Neodiprion lecontei: one gene and its partner. The main gene of each other region encodes a partner of the protein of the gene in region 2 in a complex. Links are inferred from orthologs where the notes say so. Each region holds a gene or a part of one and is shown on either strand. Other genes may lie near its edges.

Region 1 (5,182 bases), on a different chromosome or scaffold from region 2:
TGAAATGCAATGGATCGATTTCTGGGTCTCCAAGTTTTACCAAAGAGTGTTGAAATCATGAAAATTGATTGTATGTCACCATTGGAGAGTAATTTAAATAAACTGTAATCAGGGTAATTTTGATCAGTCAAGAAGGAGTGAAGAGATACTTCAAAAGAAATCACCCGTTATATTCCAGATGTTTGAAATAGGCTTGTAGAAAAACAAGGAAAACTTTCCAAGTTAAAAAATTAGTGCTGATACCATTGGAAATAAGAAATTAATCATCTATCAGACGTTCAAATGGCTAGGCATTAGTGCTTAATGAATAAGAAAAATAATAATAATAATAATACAAGATCCAAGGCGAAATGCGGAAAAGAAATAAAGGAAAAAACCTACGCATCTGTTCACACAGTGTGCGCAACTTATACATATGGAGCATTCCACATACAATTAGCCTGTACCTCAACCCCTTTGATTTTAATCATTTTCGAGTATGATATTCTTACCGACTCGAAAGGGTCTCCGAATTTTGTTCTCATTTTTGTAGCATAATTTTTTTTTCATAATATTGTAAAAAAAAAAATAAAATAATTAAAAAACCAATTCTAAGATCACCATTTTCAAAAATCTGAATAAATTCATAGATTCTATGATTGGAAATGTGATTTTTAAGTACCACACGAAAATCAATATATACTATTTTTGTCGAAAGGTCCTACAACTGATGACTGGGGTCTGAACACACCTCCAGGCGAACTTTGAACTGCGCTCAGCGCCACTATCGCTACATGGTTATCAGTTTTTGAATATATATATATATATATTAGACTGTATAAAAAAAATCGACTATTTTTTTTTTGAAATTGAAGCTGAAAATAGATGCTGTTTAAGTATCGGCTCTTAATATTAATATTCGGAGGAGCCTCATTGCAATTTTCCATTTCCCATTTAAATAACATTGGAATTTTTTTTTTAAACTTCAAAATTTTATGACTCATCAACGCATTAGTGTATTGATAAGACCAAAACGTATGTTTGGAAGGAATTGCATGCTTCACAAACAAAGGTCTGTTATCATTTTATGATAAATTTACTCTGACAAAAGTTATTTAATGTCAAAGGTCAATAAAGGACCTTATATATACTTACATTAACATATGCACACACAAACACATATACATGCATGTGTGTGTGTGTAACAATTTCGACATGGAAAAACTAAAAACTTGCGCAAAAAATAGTAAATATTGAGATCCCACTATCGTGTGATGCTTAAAAATCACATTTCAAATCATGGAATTTCTGTGAATTGTTTCAGATTTATAAAAATGGCTTTTTTGGAATTTATTTTGCAATTTTTCGTAAATATCACCAGTGGCTGTAGAAAATCAAAAAATTCCCGAAACTCTTTTGGATTGGTAAGAACATCACATAATAACTAAAAATGATTAAAATCGAAGGAAGTGAGATACGTTGGCTGCTAATTTAACGTGGAATGCCCCATATACATGTAACGTCTGTGGCATACACGAGTGGGTCACGTGACATATCCACCGGCGACCGTTCGAATTATTGTTATTCATTCCGCGACACGCATCAGGCATTTCTCTTCTTTCTTTCTCTCGGATTATTCTCCTCGTCGATATCAAGCCGTGTAGTCGCCAGCATGCGAAGTGATTGCTGAATTAAGCAGCACGCATAATTATATAAGGCACAAGCGGGATCCAGGGGCCATAGTACATCGCCATTCATTTCCTGCATTCTTGTTATGGCTTACGGAATTCAATCTGTATAAAACTCTACACTTCATGAACGAGAGTTCGCGATCGGATCTATTAATTTACCCGCAAAGTGTGGATAATTTTTTTCAATACTTAAATTGGAACCTCAGATAGAAAACTGCAATGCTAATTCCGCATTCTGCTTATGGCTTGTGGGATTCAGTCTGTAAAATTTTCATTCCGTCAGCACAGGTTTCGCAGTCCGGTATGCTCACGAAGTGTGAATTTTCGTGCATAATGAGACACTAGTGGCATAATTTCAGTTCTCTTGGACCGGTAAACGGTTGATAAACGTCATATTGACGAATCAGAAATGAGGACAGACCAGAAAAAATGGCGCAACGGCTGCTGCATCCTGCTCATGACTTATGGAATTCTATGTGCAGAGGCCGTAAGGAGGGAGAGTATAGGAGGTTAACAGGGAGGGAGGAATCGACGCCATTGTGGGAGACAGAATAAAATCCAATATGGCGGACGAAAACGACAGAATGCACGTGTCACGGCTTGGAAACGGGATGAGGACGCGAAATTTTCAGGAAATCTGGGACGGACGGATAGCCTCGTAGGTTCTACAAAACTACGAACAACAATCTAGCGTCAATTACCGAAATACTGACCGTCGGCTGGCTGCTGGAAGTTAACGTATGCGTAGCCAAGGGAGCGGCGAGTGATCATATCTCTGCACACGCGTATCGACAGCACTGGGCCTGCCGATGAAAATTTTTCAAACAGCATTGCTTCGGTTATATCCGAGTGCAGATCACCGACGTACAGCGATGCCATCGGATAATTAGGCGCTCCTGGATTCATTTCTGTTCACTTTCTTACTTATCACGATCGTACGATACTTCTCGCCTTCAATATGGCTTGTTATTTGCCCGTGTGATTTTTCCCCATGCAAATTCTCTCCAGACGTTTCTTTTCTTCCTTCTATCAGCAGCTGGTATCAATGATTTTTTCACCTTCTTCTATATGCTGTATCAAAACCAACAAGGATATTTATTAGGTGTCTTATTTTATTACCGACTTTTCTTGGCCTTGGTTAATCTTCTTGATTTTAATAAATTTAATTTCCTTCCTTTTGCGAATTTTGTATATTTTTAGATATTTTTAGATTTTCTTTTTCTTATAATAAAACGCAAATAATTGTCACACACACGTTGTCTTGTTTTATTTCCGTTTCCTTCTTCTTCTTGTTAACACCTTTATTGGCTTCTTCTTTTTTTTATTATTTTCAAATCTCTATTTTTCCCTTCTTCACACAACTTGATATATCAAGGTGTTTATATCTTTTTTTAATATCTTCACAAGTTTCGCGATTTTCACACTACGGTTTTACGATTTTTTTGTTTTTTATTTTTAAAGATTTTTTATAGATTTTTTTGGGGTGGGGGATGAGGATGAGGGTTTTTTTAGTAGTGGATTTTTTGTTTTTTTTGTATTTTATGTTTTTTTAATATAGAAGAGTTAATTCACGAATGGAGGTGGGTTGTGTGACCTATTTTTTTTAGGAAAAAGGAGACACAACCACACGTGAAAACAACTCTACTCTTAATGACGAAGAGGCAGTCAGGCCGTCCGCGTCACAGTTATATACGAAACCGTAGAACGCCATTTCCTACGCCGACAAGTAGTTCCCCGATACGCACAAACCTGGAATAGTACGGTATTCAACGGTAAAAATTTATCTCGATACAATTGTTAATGCAATTGGATTTGTTTTATCAGTTTTCCATCAACTCTACAAGCATCAATAAATATTTAATCCCATTTCAATCGACTCGCGTCGTATCCAAAATTCGTCGCTATTGGCCACGCGACTGTTACGCGCTTGTTTTCAGGTACTATTTTCATTTTCACCGGACGCTGTATGCTTGCGGCGCGGAGATAATTACAGTTTCCTACGCCTACCGACTTGATAAATGAATTCGGAATCATGGTGAAAATTCAGTCAATAAATGAAAAACATTGTAATTTCCATCGTATCTGCTATATCAGCGAAAATTCGCCACATTAAATAGGCTGTTGAAGAAATTGTCCGATAAGTTGTAGCCACCCTCAGTAATCTTCAGGCAGCTCACAGCTGTCGCGTCTAGTTAGGCATCGGAATTCACAGCAGTCATGAACTACGCAGTGACGCAAGAATGTCTGTTAAAGGTGTTCCACAACACCACGGCGAGAAAAAGAAATACCAAAATGGCAAAAAAAAGCAAACGGAATCTAAGGCCCGTATTCATAGTCAGGTCTCAAGGCGGTGCTTAAGACCGTCTTGGTGAAGATCGTCTTATTCGTTCAAGACCGTCTTGAGATGCTATGTATTCATAGTCGGAAAACAAGACGGTCTTCGTCAAGAATTTGGTCTCAAGCGCTAGCTTATTTCATTCAAGACCGTCTTGACGAAGACTGAGCTTGAGACGGTCTTATTCGACGTTCGGTTATGTTCGGAATATTTCCGATGTATCCCCCAATAAGATGCTCGGATTTTATTTCTCAGCCTGTGCAAGATATTCGTATAGGCATGCAGCTCTTGAGTATTTTTATAGTTTATGAACACAACAACGTTAGCGCCACGTAGAGGAACTAAAAAACGGGAACAAATCGCGTACAATTTTTTGTAGTGGGTGTATAGCTATAAAACGAAGAAGAAGAAAAAGAATTTTATAGTGTATGTTTATGTGTATATAATTTTTATATACACATATTTTAACCTATATCATTATGTAAATCTCTATACCGGTTATTGATAAATAAATTGTATTGATATGTTAAAAGGAATCCCGGTGCAGACTTGCAAAAAAATGCGCGTGAAAGGGACAACCTTTGATCTTCAAAGTTCAAAAGAGCAACTTTAGTTCTATTTACTGGCTGTATTTATAATGTATTGAATATTTTTACGTAGACAAATTTTCATAAGTATTATCGTAACTATAAGACTGACGCTTAGTACAATTACGTACATATCAGTATTTTCATGAGTAAGTGAGGGGTTTAAAAATAAAATGAGAACCAATGATAAGTTATGAGTAAAATATGTATTCTAATGTTAACTGTTTGTACAGATTAAATTCAATTTTATTAAATATTTGGAGTATATTCATTCTAAAATCAATTAGTCTTTACAATTAAATTAACTTGATATACATATATTTTGATTAAATGAATAACCGTTCGATTAGAGCTTCGCGTATTGCAAAACCCTCTCCAGGCTGCCAATGCGGTGCTTGAGGTGGCAATTCATCCGCTTCTTCTTCCTCGATGCGATTATCTTCCGGAAGAGCATTATCCAATGTTAGTGATAAATTGTGTAGTACGGCACAAGCTACAACAATTGTGGTAGAGCACAACAATTTGGTTCCCAAACCTCGGGATAGGCAAGGAAAACGTCGCTTCCAAACTCCAAATGTTCTTTCAACAAT
Region 2 (5,259 bases):
CATCATCGTCTTAAAACACGCCACTATAGATAGGATGTCTCTGGAAATTCGAGCGCAATAATCTAGATCAGAAAATAGAAATGAACTGAATGAACGGAAAACACGATGATTAGCGGCGATATGTTTTCAGAAAGCATTAATGTAGAAATGTGTGTACTGTTTTAGCTTGTTGACAGTGTCAGTTCTCACGTTGGGTAAAATTTTTTGTCTGTTTTGATGGAACACTGAATTCCTACCATTTTAGCATATGCGACACACGGTATAATAATTCACACGTAGTGTCTGTTAAAATCATGTGCATGTGGGATTTGTGCATAAAGTCAAAAATTTATGTTTAGATAATACAGTGTCGAAAATTGTCATATGATTCACGTTGCTGATAAAATAGAAAAAACAGTACTTGATGCATAATCAAAATTTAGAAGTATTTTGAGTATTTCAGACTGACTTAAAAAAATGAGTGGTTCTGAATAAATGTGCTCAAATTACAACGTATTGCTAGTCACACAGAGTGATGTGATTTGAGCTGTTCTCTAATTGACATGGTGAAAAGAATTTATGCAAATCTTTAGAACACGAGTAGATAAAATTAACGTTTACGTACACTGAATTAAACGTTTTTATAATGGACCATGCCTATGATGAATCTGAGCACGAAAAATTGGATAAAAGTCAGAAATAAAACAGTAAATCGAAAAACAGTTTTGAAAGCTTAGTATTGCCTGAAATTCAGTAAATTGTAATAAAGCAAGCTAAACTCATATTTTGCAAACTCAGCCTCTTAAAAGTAATTCTGAGGTTGCAAAAAAATGGTTTAGAGAGAATAATGTTTCATTATGTTGACTTTACAAACTTCATCAATTATTGTTTGTCTAACTTTCCAGGAATGGGATTACAGGGTTGCCCCTGCTTTTCTGTTACACAATTTTCTAATATTTCTAGTAACTCAGTGCTTGAAGTTTTTCAATTTTCTAAGTACAGCGTCGGTTATGGGGGTGTAGGGTATGATATTTCTAAGAATTTGCATACCTCCACTAAAGAACTTGAGGTAGATTTATATCGCTTTGAACTGAGCCTCTCGCAATAGGGCCATCAAAAATCTGTAAGGGCTATGCTGTTTTCTTCCAACAATTTACTTTCATTGCCGGCCGTATTGCGAGAGTATCTGGCAAAACTGTGGCTACGCTATATTCAACTGGAATAGTGGGAAATCCTGCTGAGGGAAGTGGCCCTATTGCGAGAGGCACTATCGAGAGAGTCGGCTATACGCTATTCCTTTTCTACACATAATAGAGATATTGTTGCCAAAAAGTGATTGATTGTTACAATTTGATATGGTAAATTTGTGTAGGGGAGGGGCTGAAAAACATTAATTTATGATTCCTGTTGCCAAAATTTTAAGGAATAATTTTGCCCGTTCATTTAAATTTTAAACATTGCTGACAAAAAACAGAGTTAATCAAGAGTAATCAAAAAACTGAGATTTTTCTGTGTTCAGTAATTGCAGGTTAATTAGACAACATTTATAGGAAATAAGTAACTTCTATCAGCTTATTATATCGACTGGATCTTAAACATGAAATATCTTTACTCATTCGATATGGCAAACATTTGAAGATAAAAACTTAAATTTCCAGATTTTCGTGAACAGAAATCTCTGATTTTTTGGCAATAATTTACATTATCGTCGACGAATATGATGAGTGAATCTTACAAATTATACCAGTAGTAACCTGAATTTCGAATCTAGGTAAACAAACGTACTTAAGTGACTGATTAAGCAATGGGAATGGTCATCATCTAATATGAGTTGCATGAAGTGTTCTAAGTTTTTGTAAATTTAATTCAATCTTTGCCGAGATGTCTTGATACATGAGCGCCATCAAGGACCACTTTAAACAGGTTTGCATCGAAATTTCGCATATATATAAGTGAATGCAAATATTCAACTTAGCCTATTTTGCTTGCTCCAATGACATTTCAAACACAAGTAATATAAAAAAGAACCTGGAAATGCACTTTGCTCTTGAATTCAATTTGAAATAAAGTATTAAAGGAACTCTCAATAGATTGAAAGCGAATGTAGGTTGGCATACTGTGCTACTTAGAACAGTATGAGCATCGTCATCGTTTGAATCTTAGACAACATCAGTGACAGATGGTATTATCTTTGAAGCAGATGATACATTTATTTAACAACTGTGAAAAGTGTATTGTTTCACCAATTCTCTTTCTGTCAAATGTAAAATGACTCAATCTATATTACCAAACATTACTCATTATCAGAAATTATTTAATTTGTTATACATTCAAGCCAATGAAATAGTAGCAACAACATTGCGAAATATTTGGTAGATTACAAGAGCTTGTCGTGAATGCAATGTTTGCAAGTTATTTGGTAATGGATATGCGGGCTACGCAACTGACGTGAACTGGTAGTGATTAGAAAAAAATGTAAGTAAATAGGATACGTTACTTTCGGAGTACTTATTGGACATGCAAATCATTTGACTCATTTGATAAACTACAACGTGCTTATCAAGCACAAAACGCTATAGTAACTGTATTAGTTTTAGTAGCTGTATAAGAAATTGGAGCAAGCAGTGTCAACCTGGCCACAGAAACGGTGTATGATTGACCTCACACGAAAGTACGTTAGTAAAATGTCCATGATGGAACGGCAGTTAGTCAGTCAGAACAATTCAATTTAGATACGCGTATGTTGATTTATAGTCGAAAGTTTCACAAAATATTGTACCGATGTATGTGTTGTGTGTGCTTCATTGTGGAGTATTTAGATTTTTTCTAACTACATTCCGTTAATTGGTATATCATATTACTTGATTTGTATTGAGACTCGCCGCAGCGTTACTGAAGAGTACTAAAAGTTGTATAATAAAACATTGTAAACTAGATTTAAAGTAACGAAGACACATAATCTTAAATTTTTTTACAAAACTCACCACGACACAGCACAGCACTGACGACATGCCGCCATGTTGAATGTCAACATTTAGCATTCACATACAAAACAAGAGCAACTGCGGAGAGATTCGGAACCACAGCCTTCTTGAGATACATCGATTATCCAGGACCCAAAGAGTATGGGATAGAGTGGATGCCAGGACCCTTGAAGTGTATGAACACTGGTGACGTCGGCGTAAACATTTATGGACAAATTGATTAATTAGATTTAATATTTTACGGCTACTTATTCTCGATGTTAGGTGGCCGTGAGCCAAAACTTTCAAGAGCTGAAACTCTGATTTAAAAAAAATAAATGAATAAGGCATTGTAGTTTACCTGATTGTAAAGTTGCATTCATAAATAATAGTGTTACTTTTGTTGGAGTACGCTGATTATTTATTTCACGTTTCAATCAAATTTGAATTTGAATTTTATGACTTTTTAAAGCCTTAACTCGCAGTCACCAGCGGGACGCTGTGGATACCAAACATGACGGATCCGTTTTGCTAGTGATTCTACTACATGCATCGAGTAAGCCATGAAGTAACTCCCGCGTGGCATCATCCCATTATTTCTACATACGAGAGGTCACCAATAGTGGCAAATGACAGCAGGTGACGGAAAGACGTCGCTGAGAAAGTGATAACTGACAAGTGTTCGCGAACCTCCAAGAGTGCGACATGGCTTACGTTTCTCAAGGTAAACGATATATTGACAATTATCGAAAATAAATATTAAAATGTCAAAAACCCAAATATAACGTAAAAAATTTTATACCAATTCTCAGATGGATCTGTGCTCCAGACTGAACCCTGGCCGCGTAGACTGGTTTCATTTTTTTTGGGAATTTTCTACATGTTTTTCATGTTGTAAGTAATAATGACATTAAGCATCCTAAGAGCCCCCCTTTTTGAATAGAAAAAACCCATCTAACCACTGCAAACGGATAGTAGGTAGGCCCACTTTTGGAACGTTTGTGATATGATTATTAACAGGCCCGAGGAAACTGTTTCAAGTTAATTCGTCATTCTGATCCAACGGTAAACTTTTGATTGAAAAACAGAATTTTTTATAAATTACAAGTGTGTAACTTCCCTTGACAATATTTTGATCCAGCCAATACTCGAGGTTATGTTCTGCAGCTAGAACATGCTTTAATTTTGTTTATCAATCAAGAATTGCCCTATACCATTTATTACCAGCATGCAAAAAAAAGTTTATGTAGTACAGAACTCTTATTCATATTTTTATTACACACCTGCTATTAAAAACAGGTGTGCAAATAAATAAATAATTGCATCAAAAGAATCGCTGTCAAACCTGTTACATTCTTCAGAGGTATTGAAGAAAGCAAAATCCATTGACAGAATTTTGTGACCTCATACTTAGATTCACAATCCGATCACTGCCGATATAAATTAACAATTAAAGACAGTTAGGTACGTCCATCTCAAAATTTTGAATGTGATATAAATAGAAGAAGCTATTTCAATATATTTGGTTGGATACTTTCATTCTTTGAATGGTCACAAACTTTTAAGCCGACCAACAATGGATTCCTGTGGTACTATAGTTGGTTACTGATATAAATTTATATTATTAATTCTGAATGATACGAGTATAATTTCTCATGATGATAGAATTTATATATTTATAGTTTCAAGTCATTCGTCAGCCCTGTTTTAAACGCTGTTGGAACATCTGAGGATTCGTACAATCAGGGCACATACAGAAGGGACTACAGGCCTGGCTCAGGGTACATTACAGTATTTATTTAGCTTAAGACTTTCTATCGTTATTAAATTATGCTATGTACAGTATGCTTCAGTAAAATGAAATGGATGATGCAATTCAAAGTTAAGAAAAAAGAATTATACTTTTTGTAAATTATGTATGTATTCATGGCATGTTCGTACACCATAGTCGTGGTACTTTAACATCACTACTTCATGCACAAAAGCGTGTTATTAATCACTTTTATTGCAATGAATATTACTCTTATTACACCAGTTTAATGAAATTTAAGATGATCGATTGTATCAGTTGACTGTGATCTAGTGATTGACTTGTTTTTTTTATTGGCCATGTTTATACTGCATTGATCTGATACAGAACAGGATTAGACAATCAATGTAGGCAAAGCAGAGAATTTATTTTAGAATCTTCCACGTGATTGGTGAACTAGAACTCAATGCAGACAAAAATGACTATTTATTGTCACTCATTATCTGAATTAACAGAATTACACATTCATTTCGAACAAGATATGCATCAGAATTGATTTGTGCTAAG

The links. Proteins that work in one complex are often made in the same cells at the same time.
Region 1: the proteins of cold shock domain-containing protein E1 (region 2) and polyadenylate-binding protein 1 are in contact, whole or in part, in a crystal structure (PDB 7ZHR), measured with the Drosophila melanogaster proteins. The link is inferred for Neodiprion lecontei from reciprocal best matches to the Drosophila melanogaster genes Unr and pAbp. Residues at the interface, in NP_648226.2 of Drosophila melanogaster: Leu843, Glu844, Thr845, Thr846, His847, Asn848, Gly849, Val850, Glu870, Ile871, Leu872, Asp873, Glu874, Thr878, Val879, Ile880, Ser881, His883, Leu902, Ile907, Asp908; in NP_476667.1 of Drosophila melanogaster: Asn184, Tyr186, Lys188, Ser211, Lys213, Met215, Phe225, Phe227, Ala229, Tyr255, Ala257, Arg258, Ala259, Gln260, Lys261.

The regions. Positions count from the first base shown.
Region 1 is NC_060264.1:21,286,546-21,291,727, reverse strand, and holds the start of polyadenylate-binding protein 1, read right to left. Parts: upstream 3,328-5,182; 5' UTR 2,577-3,327; coding exon 2,372-2,576; intron 1-2,371. Other genes in the region: putative nuclease HARBI1, read right to left, coding at 4,919-5,182.
Region 2 is NC_060261.1:6,944,340-6,949,598, reverse strand, and holds the start of cold shock domain-containing protein E1, read right to left. Parts: upstream 3,074-5,259; 5' UTR 2,964-3,073; intron 2,938-2,963; exon of another isoform or gene 2,841-2,937; intron 2,779-2,840; exon of another isoform or gene 2,759-2,778; intron 1-2,758. Other genes in the region: selenoprotein K-like, read left to right, coding at 3,648-3,666, 3,755-3,836, 4,625-4,723. UniProt on the Drosophila melanogaster protein: RNA-binding protein that acts as a regulator of dosage compensation in both males and females.